4 linked regions of the Caenorhabditis elegans genome follow. The protein of the gene in region 3 purifies or fractionates together with the protein of the main gene of each other region. This does not show direct contact. Each region holds a gene or a part of one and is shown on either strand. Other genes may lie near its edges. The genes, in order: dph-5, F42F12.4, B0228.7 and C29F5.1.

Evidence for each region.
Region 1: the proteins of B0228.7 (region 3) and dph-5 fractionate together in Caenorhabditis elegans (co-fractionation; one large-scale study listed by BioGRID). This does not show direct contact.
Region 2: the proteins of B0228.7 (region 3) and F42F12.4 fractionate together in Caenorhabditis elegans (co-fractionation; one large-scale study listed by BioGRID). This does not show direct contact.
Region 4: the proteins of B0228.7 (region 3) and C29F5.1 fractionate together in Caenorhabditis elegans (co-fractionation; one large-scale study listed by BioGRID). This does not show direct contact.

Annotation. Positions count from the first base shown.
Region 1 is NC_003280.10:11,348,452-11,351,915, reverse strand, and holds dph-5 (diphthine methyl ester synthase), read right to left. Parts: upstream 1,725-3,464; coding exon 1,651-1,724; intron 1,605-1,650; coding exon 1,358-1,604; intron 1,196-1,357; coding exon 692-1,195; 3' UTR 543-691; downstream 1-542. Other genes in the region: pigm-1 (GPI alpha-1,4-mannosyltransferase I, catalytic subunit), read right to left, coding at 1,970-2,179, 2,232-2,591, 2,643-3,203, 3,252-3,323, 3,374-3,424.
Region 2 is NC_003284.9:12,351,495-12,354,847, forward strand, and holds F42F12.4 (Acireductone dioxygenase), read right to left. Parts: upstream 1,454-3,353; 5' UTR 1,452-1,453; coding exon 1,335-1,451; intron 1,293-1,334; coding exon 1,173-1,292; intron 1,125-1,172; coding exon 1,032-1,124; intron 834-1,031; coding exon 747-833; intron 690-746; coding exon 570-689; 3' UTR 501-569; downstream 1-500. Other genes in the region: srdf-2.2 (3-oxo-5alpha-steroid 4-dehydrogenase (NADP(+))), read left to right, coding at 32-98.
Region 3 is NC_003280.10:7,756,643-7,760,284, forward strand, and holds B0228.7 (S-methyl-5'-thioadenosine phosphorylase), read right to left. Parts: upstream 1,749-3,642; 5' UTR 1,737-1,748; coding exon 1,619-1,736; intron 1,571-1,618; coding exon 1,460-1,570; intron 1,411-1,459; coding exon 1,317-1,410; intron 1,271-1,316; coding exon 1,168-1,270; intron 1,121-1,167; coding exon 968-1,120; intron 920-967; coding exon 713-919; intron 667-712; coding exon 586-666; 3' UTR 548-585; downstream 1-547. Other genes in the region: B0228.1 (uncharacterized protein), read left to right, coding at 1-204; B0228.8 (uncharacterized protein), read right to left, coding at 3,068-3,252, 3,298-3,464, 3,535-3,623. UniProt on the Caenorhabditis elegans protein: Catalyzes the reversible phosphorylation of S-methyl-5'-thioadenosine (MTA) to adenine and 5-methylthioribose-1-phosphate. Involved in the breakdown of MTA, a major by-product of polyamine biosynthesis.
Region 4 is NC_003280.10:6,301,815-6,306,800, forward strand, and holds C29F5.1 (START domain-containing protein), read left to right. Parts: upstream 1-1,710; 5' UTR 1,711-1,740; coding exon 1,741-1,824; intron 1,825-2,266; coding exon 2,267-2,440; intron 2,441-2,570; coding exon 2,571-2,773; intron 2,774-3,309; coding exon 3,310-3,504; intron 3,505-3,550; coding exon 3,551-3,737; intron 3,738-4,086; coding exon 4,087-4,395; 3' UTR 4,396-4,469; downstream 4,470-4,986. Other genes in the region: C29F5.8 (DOMON domain-containing protein), read left to right, coding at 4,615-4,860.

The sequences.
Region 1 (3,464 bases), 3.6 Mb from region 3:
GAAGAAGACGAGGAAGAGGGAAGACATGTGTGTGTGAGCAGGGCCTGGAGCAGCAACCTTCGAAACTCCACCCTCTCCAGGCCGGAAAAAAGAGCTGTGCAGGACGTTGCGCGAATCATGATTGAGGTACTCACGGAGCACAGGGAGAAAAAACTTGTTTTGACTATTTATGTTACTAGTCTCTTTTTCGTCGTGTCAGGTTTTGGTGTTCTCAATTACAGCTCCGCCTTCTCGTGGCTCACTAGTTTTTTCCGCTTTGCTTTGCTAACTCAATAGAATATTGTCGTCGATCTTCTGGAAAATTCCTATTAAAAATACTATCTAAATAGGAATGCAATTTTAATAGCAGGAAAATTTAAAAAGTGAGAAATGTGCAACGACTTCTTCCGGTAATCCCCAGTTGACGGATGACCTCTAGTTGTACTGCCATTTTTTTTTTTGCTTTCTTCCTCCATTCCCAGGGTCAAAAGTTTGAAGGCGAAACTGGATACGGATAAATTGGAAGAGGATTAAAAAATCGCGGTGTGTGGGAAAAAGTTTGAAATGAAGATTAATTTTTTTGAGACTAACAAAATGAAAAAAAAAAAAAACGAAAAACTAAACAAAAAAAGTTTGAAAAAATGTGGAAAAAGTAATTAGCAACAGACAACAGAACAAGAATAAGAACAAAAAAAGGAACAATTTTGGGGAATTATGGCCTGAAAGTTTCCAACATGTCGACTTCCAAAGGATGGGTTTCACCAGGAATAATCAGTGAATGTAGAGGTTCGCCCATCTCCATCTCACTCATATCTTTCATACTCGCGTATACGATCTTCTGATTGTCCCATCCAACTCTTGCCAAGCCGACAACCATCGTGTTCTCATCATAGGCACACTCTTCTCCCTTGGCTTTTCGTCTCTCATAAATGGTCAGCAGTTGTCGAGCCGCTTCGGAGCACTTTTGATACCTGGCTGGCTCGAAGATCTTCCGCCCACGCATCATATTTTCGACAGTTTGCTCTTTGGTTTTGATATCCAGCAGGCATAAAGTGTGCATTCCACGTTTACGATTCAACGCGATTTTATCGTAATAGCTCTCCGGCTGCCACTCGTCAGTCCACATTACAATTGAAACTGTTTCTCCGAAATTGTAGAGTTGTAGTCCACAACAGCCAACTGCATTCATGATGGAAGCATTGTGAATCACTTTGACCTGAAACGAAGGAAGTTTTAATTTATTTTTAAAAAAAACCTCTTAATATTTTGAACACACAAAAAATTCAAGTTATATGAAAGTTTAAAGGAAGTTTCTAGTTTTTTAGTTTATGTTTTGCACGTTCCGTGACTGGAATCAAATTTAGCTTCCTCAAATCACCGGAATATTCTGTTGCTTAGCACGCAACACCAGATCCGCATGTGTAGTTGCTCCGAACGGGTCTCCAACGACAAGTAGAGCTACGTCTTCCTTATCGGCTCCATTTAAAATCGCATCAGACTCCTGCTCGACGACTGTCCGATCGGCTTCAATGATCTCTCTTCCGTAGAACTTTTCGAGATTTGTTTTGTCCAATCCATAGCATAAAATGCTTGTGTAGGCTTCTAGATGAACGCGAGCACAGTTTCTGAATAAAAATATTTAATTTTGCATTAATTATATTTTATAAATACTTGACAATATTTAATCCTTTGACAGTGATGTCTTCAACGTCTCCAAGTCCCAAACCAATCAAATAAAATACCATCTGAAGTTTTTTTTTTTAAATTGCAGTTCATAACTAATTATCAGCTGATATCAATACAATTAATAAATAAAAGAAAATCAGTTATCGGATGAGATAATAACCGATAATATAAGGTTCCAGAAATGATGGAGCAATAAAAAATGCAATAAAATTTATTAATTTTAAAAATAAATACAAGTAATTACCCATATGAAAAAGGCGACTAAAGCTTTAAGTGAACATAAATATCATTTTACAGAATGAGATCAATCGGTTTTTGGCTTGACTATTGGTACATAATGATTGATAATTTGTTTGAGAATAAATGAATTTGCAATCAAAAACAGGCAGGAGGCCAGGAACATCAAAAAGAATGTATTCCATCCTTGGAATTCGAATAAATACGCAGCGAGAAGCCAGATTCCTTGTGTTGCGAACCACGCGGCCATTAGAGATAACGCTAGTTGTCGGGACATCTGGAAAAAGGTGGAATTTAGGAAAAAACTAGTTTTAAAAATAATAATTTACCATAATTTTATGAGCGAGTAAAGGTAGAAGAACAATGTACCAGACAAAGTACTGACTTGTGCACACTTTGTTATATGTAACAAATGCGAAGGTGGTGATAAACCAGCAGAAGGGAAGATCATCGTAATGCTTGAAGGCGAAGAACACGATCAGCACAATTTGTGGAATGAATGCTCCGAGGCCGATGATCTGTGACATTGTCGGATTCGCTTCATACAGGTACAATAGGTAGAAGTACGGCGAGAAGTTATGGGCGAGATCTCTTCTTTTGACGTGGTAGATCAGATATTCATCGAGGAATAGTTGTCCGTAGATTTGGAAGAAGAATAGTACCACCGCTGCGAATGATGTGAGAGTTACCTAAATCTTTTTAACATTGAGAATTCCATGTTTTTAAGAAAAATAACTTACCAGCATATATGCGAAGCCTTTCCAGTTAGAAACCAAACTTTTAAACTTGTTCACAACACAACTTTGTTCTCCAATTGTTGAAAGACTCAGAAAAACTGATGGGAGATAAATCAATGGATAAATCTTCAATTGGATCGCAAGGGCGCCGTGAACTAGAGCTGCAGATTTCCAGTATCCTTTTTGAAGTAGCACAATATTCAGAAGCACGACTGCAGCAACAATAGATTCTGCATTTCCTCTGGCTGAGATGATAGCGGTCAGTGGATTCGCAAGCCAGTAAATCACGACATTCATTGTTTGATCATCTTTCATTTCTTCTCGTGTTTCGCTTTTTGTTTCGTTTAAATCTTTCTCCATTATTTTAAAATACAGAATCGCCACCAGGATGTCGAAAATGCAGAAGAGAATCTTTCCAAAGTCCGGGAAATGCACAACAGGCAAAAGAATCCATGCTAGCGCAGGCGTATATCGGTAAGTGGCTCTGTCGAATGGGCTTCCACCGTTTGAGACATGTTTGGCAGCGTCGGAGAACACGTGATAGTCGATGTCTGTGAAATTCACCTGAAACACTGAGTTTAAACTTATTTTGATGATGTAAAATTATCAAACCTTGAATAGATAATCGTGAATGTGTGCGTAGAAAACGAGAATTATCCTTGCCACGAATGCCACTAGTAAAATCTGGAAGAACATCATTAATTCGATGAATTCGTTGAAAATAGACAAATTACCTTATTTCGATTGAACGTTTCGTTCTTCACAAAACTCCGGACACATTGCATTTGTGGAGAAAACTGGAATATATTCGAATATATAAATGCT
Region 2 (3,353 bases), on a different chromosome or scaffold from region 3:
TGTCCCCGAACATCAATATATAAATTTTCAGTTGGTACAAGGAGAAGTTCCCGAAATACCCACCAACGCGTCGTGCCCTAATTCCGTACATCTATTAATTTACAATTATTTGTTTTGTTGTAATTTTTATAGTTTTACTCACCTCACATTCCGTTGATCGGCATCGGCATCTAATTTCTAATGCTTCAAGTTTACCGTGTGATGAAAAGTTTCTAAAATTGCAAATAATTTTCAAATAACTTTTTTTAAATGACATAAGTTTTTAACAGTATCTAAAACTGAAAGTTGAATAGGAACATCTCTGCTGAAAACAACAAACAAGACATTTACAGATGAGACACAAAACACAGATTTTCAAATGAAGATATTGAATAAGTATATAATTTTTAAGCGACATTGACCAGCTCCATATCAGGGCACAAAAAACCTTTTTTCAATATGGTAACGCGAATCACAACATTAACAGTAGTTTTTGCTTTTCAACTTTACTATTTCGTTGACACAAATGGACTGTTTATTGCATCAAATACAGAAATATGCAAACCACGGAAATTGACTAGACGTTGTAATTAAGCAGAAATATCGTTCAAATATTGCTGGCGAACTCGTTGCTCATCTCCATCAGCTTTGCGGTTGAATGCAGTCCACTTGGGATTATTTCGGAAAAGTCTCAGAGCAACGACGTCTTCCTGAAAATTAATATTTCTTCACTATAGTTCCAATAAAATTAGTATACAAAAACTCACCGAAGGATCGGTAGTGAAGCGATGGTAGATTCCTGCGGGAAGAAAAACAAAGTCTCCTCGACGAACTGGGATGCGGATCCAAGCTTCCTGTTTTTCTTTTTTTTTTTTTGTTTTTCTTTGAAAAAGGAAGTTTTTTTTTAACGATTTGAACATTTGGAATGTTTCTAATAACTTCCGTAATTTTTCAGATATCATCATGAAAATTGGAGATCATAAATTTTTCAACATTTGCCATCGAACTGCATTAACACTTTTTCAAAAACTTTTTTTTTCAATAAAACTCACGTCTTTTGTTCTGACGTCAAAGAACCCAACGCCATGCTTAATTACACGAAGTTCCGCATCATCGTGAAGATGTTCTTCAAAGAAGATGTCAAGCTGAAAATGCAAATGTTTATTTCTGTTATTGACTTTCAAATTGTTTACTTTTTCATCGAAATTCGGCATGGTGGCACGACAAATATGAACTTCGTCGTGAAAATTCATGTCATATTTCTTGATAAGACGATCCAAGTCCTCTTGAACATGTTCGTCATCAAAGTTGACCTGAAAGGAAAATCATTGTTTGAGAAATGCCTCAAATATTACTTTTGTGCATTCGACTCCAATTCGCAAAAGATCTTCTTCGGTAGCTTCTTTGTTCGGCGAAAATCTGCATTCATCTTGGCGATTTTCCTTGGTAACATCAGTCATGAAATACGCCATCTCTGGAAATATTAAAATCAGTAGAGAATTGGCTAAAAAAAAAGAGAAAAAAACGAAGAACAAAGAACGGAGGTGCATTTCATAAATGTAATAAAATCGATAACAGTGCGATGGACAGCAAAGACTGTTTCGATGAACACACCGATAACGGAGACCACTTTTTATAGACATTGTGAACTAGTTAGATACCATTCGGTCATTTGAAAAATACCTGTTTGGTTTGAATTGAATTATGAAGTGACTTTATCACAAATACATTTGATTTAATATAATCGCAGCGATCGGAATTGGATTTTACAAACACTAGTTTGTTTAAAATATTAAAAAACTACAGAATTGCTGACGTTTTCACAATTATTGCTGGGTTGGCAAAAAGTCAGTTCAGGACTATCAGATACTGCACCACTATTATGAAGAAGCTGCTCAACAAATTTTACACATATTTGTGATCGCATTTTAAATGTGGGTGCTATTACCGTTTTTAAAGTTTCCGTAAAAGAGTTTTCATAGAGTCCTTTCGTTTTATATCAACACATTTTGTTTTGCAAACAATTTTTATTGAATGAATGTGTAAACGACTGAGAAACACATACAAATTTAAAGATTATTGTAGAGTTTGTTGCAACCGCTTATCTTGTTTTTTAGCTGGTGTGGTTTTCAAGCAGCATCTGAAGTCTTTATCAGTTGTGCAGGAACCATCATAGACAGCAGCACAGTTATGAACACAGAAATTGTAGCAAGTTTTGTTGGTTTGAGTGGCAAAACTGATCCATGGAGAGCAGAATGCGTAAGATTCATCACCATTGACACCAGCACAGAACTTTGTTTTCAGAATTTAAAAACAGCATTGCAAAAACTTTCATAACCACCGAGTTTAAGCAGAAAAAGTACGTTTTCAGGCCTAATTTTGGAGCACATTTTAAAATAGAATGGAATGGGAAATTAGTAGATTTACCAAGCTTTGAAAATTAATATCTGGCTTCAAACTATCTTTTTGGAAAATCCCTGTAGCCATTTTATTGCAAATTTCGTGTTCTTTCTGAATTTAAAAACAGCATTGCAAAAACTTTCATAACCACCGAGTTTAAGCAGAAAAAAAACGTTTTCAGGCCTTATTTTGGAGCACATTTTAAAATAGAATGGAATGGGAAATTAGTAGATTTACCAAGCTTTGAAAATTAATATCTGGCTTCAAACTAACTTTTTGGAAAATCCCTGTAGCCATTTTATTGCAAATTTCGTGTTCTTTCTGAATTTAAAAACAGCATTGCAAAAACTTTCATAACCACCGAGTTTAAGCAGAAAAAAAACGTTTTCAGGCCTTATTTTGGAGCACATTTTAAAATAGAATGGAATAGGAAATTAGTAGATTTACCAAACTTTGAAAATTAATATCTGGCTACAAACTAATTTTTTTGAAAATCCCTTTTTGAAAATCCCTGTAGCCATTTTATTGCAAATTTCGTGTTCTTTCTGAATTTAAAAACAGCATTGCAAAAACTTTCATAACCACCGAGTTTAAGCAGAAAAAGTACGTTTTCAGGCCTAATATTGGAGCACATTTTAAAATATAATGGTATAGGAAATTAGTAGATTTACCAAACTTTGAAAATTAATATCTGGCTACAAACTAATTTTTTTGAAAATCCCTTTTTGAAAATCCCTGTAGCCATTTTATTGCAAATTTCGTGTTCTTTCTGAATTTAAAAACAGCATTGCAAAATCTTTCATAACCACCGAGTTTAAGCAGAAAAAGTACGTTTTCAGGCCTAATATTGGAGCACATTTTGAAATATAATGGTATAGGAAATTAGTAGATTTACCAAACTTTGAAAATTAATATCTGGCTACAAACTAATTTTTTTGAAAATCCCTTTTTGAAAATCCCTGTAGCCATTTTAT
Region 3 (3,642 bases):
ACACGTCCTTCAATGGCTTTTGCTCTAATTGCTGAAACAATCAATGAAAGATTTGTTGGATCAGTCAAGGATTTGATTCGTGACGTACTGACTCCAAAGGAATATGATATTTTCCGTAAACACTATCACCCGCATATCTTCAAATTGGACAATATTGGCAATAATACAGAAGCAGTCCGAACTACAACTCACGAAACATTTTGAAAGTTTACCTCTTGATTTCTTTTGAATGTTTTGTCTCACACAATAAAGAAAATTCTACCGTAGTAAAAGAAAGATTTTGCTTCAGTTTAAAACAAAAACCATAGGTTCCACCGAGATTTGAACTCGGGTCGCAGGATTCAAAGTCCTGAGTGCTAACCGCTACACCATGGAACCGATGGTTGCATCGTGTCCGAGGGCATAAACGTTTGCGGTGCACTTTTGAATGAAACAACTGTTGATACAGCGAGCGTTTCCGTCTGTTCGGGAATCTAATCGTTCTTTGAATGATCAGAATTTCATACACTTCTTGATAAGATTCGAGAAACTTCGAAACGTTAACTTTGCAATAATATCTTTATTTTAATGATTGTAAAATAAATTTTAAAACTTTTTCTGATTGTCAGTGGTGAGGAATGGAATGACGACGTCCGGTGAAATCATGACAGATTCGCGAGCTTCGGTCTATAAATTCAATTTATTTTCATTTTTCAATCTTTTAACAGTTTACCTTGAGTTTAAGAATTTCTGCGCTCCAATCAATTTTTCCGATTTCTCCAACAGCTTCTACGAACAATGTCTTGGCCTTTTCAACATTTGCTGCAAACACTTTCATTACAGATGATGCAGTCACATGATCTTCTTCTTTCCAGCAATCGTAGTCAGTGACAAGAGCTGTGGTAGCGTATGGAATACCGAGTTCCTTGGCAAGAATACACTGAAAATATAGAGGTTATCAACAACTACGTCTCCAATTTTCAAATACCTCTGGCATCATTGTCATGTTAACTAAGCTTGCTCCCCATGACTTAAACACCATGCTCTCAGCTTTTGTTGAGAATCGTGGACCTTCAATGCACACTCCGAAACCGGTTCTATGATGGACAAGTTGACATCTTTCAGCAGTTGAAATTAGAACCTATAAATTAGGATATAATTCCGTTTTAATAAATTTTTAAAAATTACCTGTCTCAGTTTCTCATTGTACGTTGGATGAGCTTGAATATGACAGACTCCTGGAGCTTGATCGTAGCTTCCATCGAAGAATGTGCTTTGGCGCCCAGTTGTTCTAAATTTTGAAAAATTTTTTTTTTTTCGTGATTGCGATTTAATACCTATCGAACACTGAGTCTGGGAACAGTAAATGTCCTGGTTCGACGTTTTCCTGGAGAGATCCGCATGCTGTAGATGCGATTATGACATCGACACCTACAAAAAATTATTTTTTTCGAATAAATTTTTTAAAAGAAAATGTCACCTCTGGAATAGAGTGCCCACAAATTTGCGCGGAAGTTTACGTTTCCTGGCATTATATCATGTTTTCTACCATGTCGAGCCAACAAAACACATTCGACTCCATTTATGGTTCCTAAATGGAATATGTTAACATTTAAAAAATAACTAATTAATTTTTCACCTTCTACAACATCATCACTTGGTTTTCCATATGGTGTATCTACGGCAACTGTGACTGGATCCAGTAAAATATTTGGATCTTCCAAACCACTTCCTCCAATAATTCCAACCTTGACCATGTTTGAACAGCACTGAACAAAAATATAATTAGGCCTAAAATATTTTGAATCCGAAAAGACTGAGCCAAAAAGTGCAATAAACTGTTTTATCTAATCAAAGATAATACTGATAACACAACCAACTCACGACACATAGTGTACTCCATTCAGGAAAAAATCAATACAAAGCCATATGAGACGAGGTGCACAAGCTGTTTTCGTGGTATAGAGGAGAGGAAACTGGAACGGCGCCAAGGCACAGAGAAAGAGACGATGGGGAAGGCGCATTTACGGTGCTCTTTTTTCCTTTTTTTCAATCGAAAAGTGGAATAGAAGTGGAAAAATTGAATTCAAAATCAAATTAACAAGATATAATGTTTCAAAATTTTTTTTTTTTAATAGTCATGATATGGATTTTTTCGATATTTGTTTTAGATTTTAAAATATTTACAGTTTTCCTACAATTCTTCTTGTTTTCTGAAAAAGTTTAGAAAAAAACAACAAAAAAAACAAAAAAAAAATGTTTCCTGTTTCAATTTCAAGGGAGGTGCACATATGCCGAATGGTCTTGCCGCGCGCACTGCAGAAAACATTTTTGTGTATGCGCCTTTAAAATTACTGTAGTGAATAGTAGTGCAGGCCTAGATTAATTTTCGGTGTCCCTGGAAATCGCAGAAATCACATTAAAGAAAAAAAACAGTGAAATAAAAAATATAAATTGAATTTCGGGTTTTAAATAGTTTTATTTTTCAAAAAAAACAATCCCGATGTTAATTTCCCGATGAAGAGATATCAACTGTCTAGTAAATCAAAAGAAGAAACGTGATTTTTCTGAAGTTTTTTCTCATTATCAATACTTTCAAGGTCTTTGAGAAAACATTAAAAACACAATGTTCAGAGAAAAAGTGAGCAGACTGAGAAACTTTTCTTCGTCAACGAAAGGCAATGTATATAGAAAATCTGAACAATCTCCAAGGCCAACTAGGACAGCTATGGAAACCGATGTGCTCTATTTCAGCGTTAAATGCTCACTATATAACTGACATGAATAAAATATGCATTTGAAACGGTCAAACTAGAAGAAAATTACAAAGAGGTGCTACTTTTCGAGGTATAACACAACTTTACGAAGACACATACATAGAGTGCCCAAGAGATGACGAAAATAAATACGGCAAAAGTATTGAATTTCATTCCAAGTAATAAAAAATAAACAAATACATATTTTATTTTCGTTACTGTAATAGATCAAATAGTTAAACATTTTATTCATTACAGGTGAATCCCACATGATCCAACTGCCAGAAATCATCTTTCTGAAATAATATCCTATAGATTCTCAAACAATACATTTAACATACATAATATCCTTCAAAGAATACACGATGAGTTGATGTACTGTTATCACTTGCTGCAGACATTGTATTAACTATCCAAAAGCCTATTTTCGAATCCTGGTATGCGTACACATTTGTTTGCTTCGGAACAGATTTCGCATAGAAATTTGAAAAACCAGTCAACCAGTTATCAAATTTCGCTGAAAATATGAATATTGTTAGGTAAAGTTTCAATTATTTTATACCCCAATTCTCAAATTTCATTCCGCATGTATATCCATGAAATTTGCTTTTATCAAACATTTCTTTGAATGCTTGAAGTGTATCCCAGCTGAGTCCTTTATTGAGCATTTGATCCCATCGACGAGAAGCTAGAGCCATTTTAACAACTGATGCATCACTCTTGGACATTCTTTAAATATATTTATAATATTACAGAAATCGTCGGAAAATTGCTTCAAATTAAATCTTTAAAACCTTACTTTGTTCTGGATTCTGTGCAGTTCTGTTGAATTTGATAAATTCTCCAATCCAAGAAATTCTCAAAATACTCAACCTTTACATTCGTGTACTGAAAGTAAAATTGAATG
Region 4 (4,986 bases), 1.5 Mb from region 3:
TAAAAGGCAAGAATAAATGATGAATAGAAGTGAGGATAAGGTAACATTAGATCAGTGTTGCTTCATTGTGGGTAGTGTTCTGTTGACAAAAAAGTGTCTCCTAAGTTTAGATTTTCCTGTGCTCCAGATATATTTCTTTTTAGAACGAGTGTGGGTCTCTTGTTGCTCAAAAAACTCAGATGTTTTTAAGTCTACTTTACCAGTATTCATTCTGATTACTTGGATTCTGTCAATTATTTTACGTCTCGTGCTTAAGGTTTGGAGGTCGAATAGTTCGTTACGTTCCATGGCAGTTTTGTAATCTTTATCAGTTGGATTAATATATCTTTTTTTGATTCTACTATAAAGGCGCCTAGAAAATGCGTTTTGTACAGACTCTATTGCTTTCTCATCCGATTTTTTTGTCGGAGAAGACACTACTGTTCCATATTCTAAACGAGGGCGGATGAAAGTTTTGTATAAGAGAATCATTAGTTTCTTATTGGAGGTACTGTACTGGTTGAACATGTTGGCCAGTTGAAATTTAGCTAGATTGATACATTTCTTCCAATGCTCAGAGAAATCCAGCTTTTCAGAGAATAAAAATCCAAGGTCTCTGGTAATAGCTTTTCGTTCAATAGGGTAACCGTCTAGGTGGTATTTGAAATCTATTCTACGTTTTTCTACAGTGACGTGAACTGTCTTTGATTGGTTTAGAGTGAGTTTTGATCCCCTTGTCCAATCTACTACAGCATCTAGAGCAGACTGTAAATTGTTTTCGCTTTCAGTCTTAGGGGTCGATACATACAATTTCGTGTCATCTGCAAACTGTTTACATGCTACTTTTTCGGGTAATATTGATGATATATCATTAACATAGATACCAAACAAAAGTGGTGACAGAACTGCGCCTTGTGGGACGCCACAAGTGGCCAATTTTCTGGATGACAGCGTTTGCCCAATTCTAACCCTAAAGCTTCTATTTGATCCTTTGTTGGCACAATCTTCTGGAAATTGATACTCCTCGATATCCAATTGATCACAAACATCGATATTCTTCAGAGTCTCTTTTTTAAATATCCAATCAACATTATTTAGCATATTTTGAAGGGAATTAACAGTCTACAGAAATTTATATTTATTCATCCTTTGTGAACAGTATGGAAGCGTTTTGAATAAAAAAGTTCCCAAGTTTTTGTTTAATGTTGCTCGAATTTTTATTTGCTAATCTTTTTGAGGTTTGAAATCTAACTGGTTGGGAAATCGTTCTGTCTAAAATTTATCATTATGAGCTTTCAAATAAAATATTTGTCATTCTACAGCCTCGTGATACAGATTTCTGTCTTTAGAAAATTATAAATTAAGCGAACGCTGAAATACTTATTCTCAACATTTTAAATTATTCGTTATCACAAAAACGTAGCCCAATGCTCCCACTCCAGGTGATGGTCAATCGATGTGTGCGTGTGTCCTCCAAATCTATACGAAATCTTTTCATTGTCTTTATTTTCTCCGAGATATTGGGATCCCGTCATCATCATCGGTGTTTCGAAACTTTGTCGATGAGATTGGACGGGAGCTCCTGCTCCCCCGCATTGTAATCTTATCTGAGTCTCTGTCTTCATAGACTATTTTTTGTTCCCGAACACCCCCTCATGTGCTCTCTCTCTCTCTTTCGTAGGGATCCGTTGTGCTGAAGAATGGCCTCTCTTTAAAACACAACACGTCGCTGGACAGATCGCCGTATAGCCGCTGTTCGATATGTCTGCCGACGGATTCTGGTTGTTTGAAGGTCTTGAAGAAGAACCATACGGTCTTCTTCCATTAAACAATTTATCTGGAAAGGTGAGTAGTTATTAAATATCGATGTAGGACTTTTTTTTTGGTTGGAGAATGTTTTTCTAGCTATTGTATTTCTTTACTTATTAATGAATTTCACAATTGAGAAGATGCCGAGCATTCACTTATGACCAACCAACATGGTAAAACTTCTTGATATTTTATTGTATTAGTTTAAAAGTTGTCTTCTAGATTTTTTGCTACAAAAATTAGAATTTTTAAGTTTCCTAGCTTAAAATTTTAAATGTCTTATGAAAATATTATAATTAGAAATATATGGAAGTTTTTTAAAAATATATGGAAATTTTTTTGTTGTATAAAGATCCATTAAAAATTAAATGATTTGCTGAAGATTTTGTGGAAAAAATGTATGAAAGTAAATGTGAGATTACAGTAAACGTGAGAGCGAATCATCTACTGTTTTCGTTAATAAAAATCAATTTTACAGGGAGGACCAACAAGTACAAAATATGTAGACCGTATTGGATCGTATCAATGGTATCTCAATGATGAGACAGCAACTATTCTTGTTCCAGGAGCACCTGTTGAATCATTCTATTGGCCAGGTGGCAAGTTGATGCAAGATCATGGAGTGATTATTTATGACGTCAATCATTTGAAAGTGAGTTCATAAGTTGTTGACTGAAACACGAGTTGAAGCACGAGAAGCGTGTAGATTTTTTTATTTGGAAAACAAAAATCAATCCATTTTTACAAGCAATGTGCTGATTTGGAAATCAATATAATTACAGGTACGGGAAGGATCTTTGGATGCCATCATTATTGCGGCACGTTTGCTCAGTGAGAAAAAGAAGAAACCAATCGATTTCTCTCAATTCCATTTTATCACGGATGCTATCAATTTGCAAAAGATTTTTGCATTCTGTAATGAAGCCGGAGAAGGATTGTTCCGAATCGATTGTGAACGCGTTGGAAAGACTGTTCTGCTCACTAGGTAAAAATAAATAGGTAGTATATATACCTATGTATAGGTAATAAATAAAAATAAGGTACCGTATATCCTCTATTAGTTTTGCACCCCTTGGCTCAACTTTGGCAGCTCATATCTCAGTAGTCGTTTGTTCTATAGAAAAGTTGTCAACTGATAAAATATTTGTTAGGTGGTTTTCTATAGTATGTAGTTTGTTAATTATTTATATGTTCAAAACAAAATGAGATATGAGCTGTCAAAGTTGAGCAAAGGGGTGCAAAACTAATAGAGGATATACGGTAGGCATGCAAACTGAAAACGAGAAAATTTAGTTTTATCTGTTTATTAAAAACTTTTTTGTTTTTAAAAAGTTTTTATAGTTTTCGTGATGCTTAGTAACTGGATTTTTCAAAATTCAGAAAAGTTTAGAACTTGAAATAAATTCTTGAAAAATTCGCACCAAAAAGTGAACATCTGCCTTGTCAGCCCTTCTCAAAGCAAAACTTCTAAACTTTTCGGTATTCTTATTTACTCAAAACAAACCAATAATTGTATTTCAGAATGGAAGCTTCTGATTTAATGGAAATCGGACATGTAACTTTTGATCAAAATCTGAAACATCGAATGACTCGCCCCCGTGGTGCTCATTCAACGGGTCCATTCTTCCAACTTGTTTCATATCAATATGGGCAATTCCGAATTCTTGTTAGATATGAAGTTGACTGTGCTGATTATGCAGCTGTCAAAGCCACTCCGTATGTTTTTTTTTGTAATAGTAAACAAAAAATTAAATTATTTTAGAGTCCCAGTAGATAAATCTGAAGTTCTGCCAGAGAAAAAGAAAAGTGATATGAACCCGGATATTGAAGTAGTGAATTATGGAGAAGTACCACATGATGTTCCACTTCAAGTACTCACAACATACCCACAAGGAGCTGGATTCCCATTTTTCACGTGGGCTCAGTTGTTCTTCACTAATGCTAACCATGTAAGTTTATGAAATATTTTGAAAAAAGATTTTTATACTCGACTGTAACTTAGACAGAATTATGAACATCTTGTCAATGTCTTGTCCAAGTATATGTAGATAGATTTTGGTACGATATTTCCAACAGATGCTTCCAACTTGGACAAAAAAGGTTTATCCACGCTTTTTGCAACTTCTGCCACAACTTTTACCATTTTATTATTTTTTGAGCGCATAATGAACAGCGTTTTTTGAGAGAGATTTTCTCAATATAAAATAGTTATGGGCCTACGAAATTGCGCAAAAAATAAAACTCATCAGATCAATAATTTTACATTTTCCACCCATCAAAAAAATTATCTAATTGCAGGAGCTTCTTGGTTGGTTCAAAGGAAACGGAGATTTCGGAAAGCCAGCTATTTACACTTTGCAAGATGTCTCTAAAATGATGAAGCCCCTTCCGTTGGTCTCTTTGTGCAAAGTTCACGACTGTCTTGACAAAGTTTACAAATTCTTGACTAAGAACGATGACAATTTCCGATGTGGACTTGTGTGGAAAGGAAAAGCTCATCTGGAAATCTTCGCGAAACACGAAGAAGCAACTGGTGGAATCAGTAAGGGAGTCCGTGATTTCTTGGCTACACAATGCAAAGATGATGAGCCAGAAGAGCAAAAGTGATTGATGAATGACCGTTTCCAATTTAATTTCCTTTTTGTATAATGTGTTCTAACAAATAAATAATTGTGTTTTGGAAGCGAGAATCATTAAATAGAAACCAGTTTTATCATCACTTCTTGGAAAAGAAGAACAATGTCCGTTGTTATTTCTAGACTTTCCAGCTTAAAACACACCTATAAATGGCCCCTCTGATATGATCAATGTTGATTCAAACTTATGATGATTCTATTCATTTTTTTCATTTTATTCATATGCCACGTCACTAGTTTCCACGTAACTCATATCAGTGACTGTGGAACTGCAAGAGGTTGTTGGAAACTACCAAATGGATGTAAAGATGCCAGTGACTGTCAGACAATGATGACGTGGAAACATGAAAGAAGACATTTGATTATTGAAATTGAAAGTAAACTGGTGAAGCCTGATATGTGGCTCGGTTTCGGATTTTCAAAAGATGGTTTGATGGTAGGCTTGTTTGGAAGTTTTGAAATGTTGCTTTATTCTTGTCTCTAAATGTTGCTAATTGTGAAAGCATTCAAATTTTAAAAAATCGTGTGTAAGACTTATCATGTTCCAGTCCTGTTCTTAACT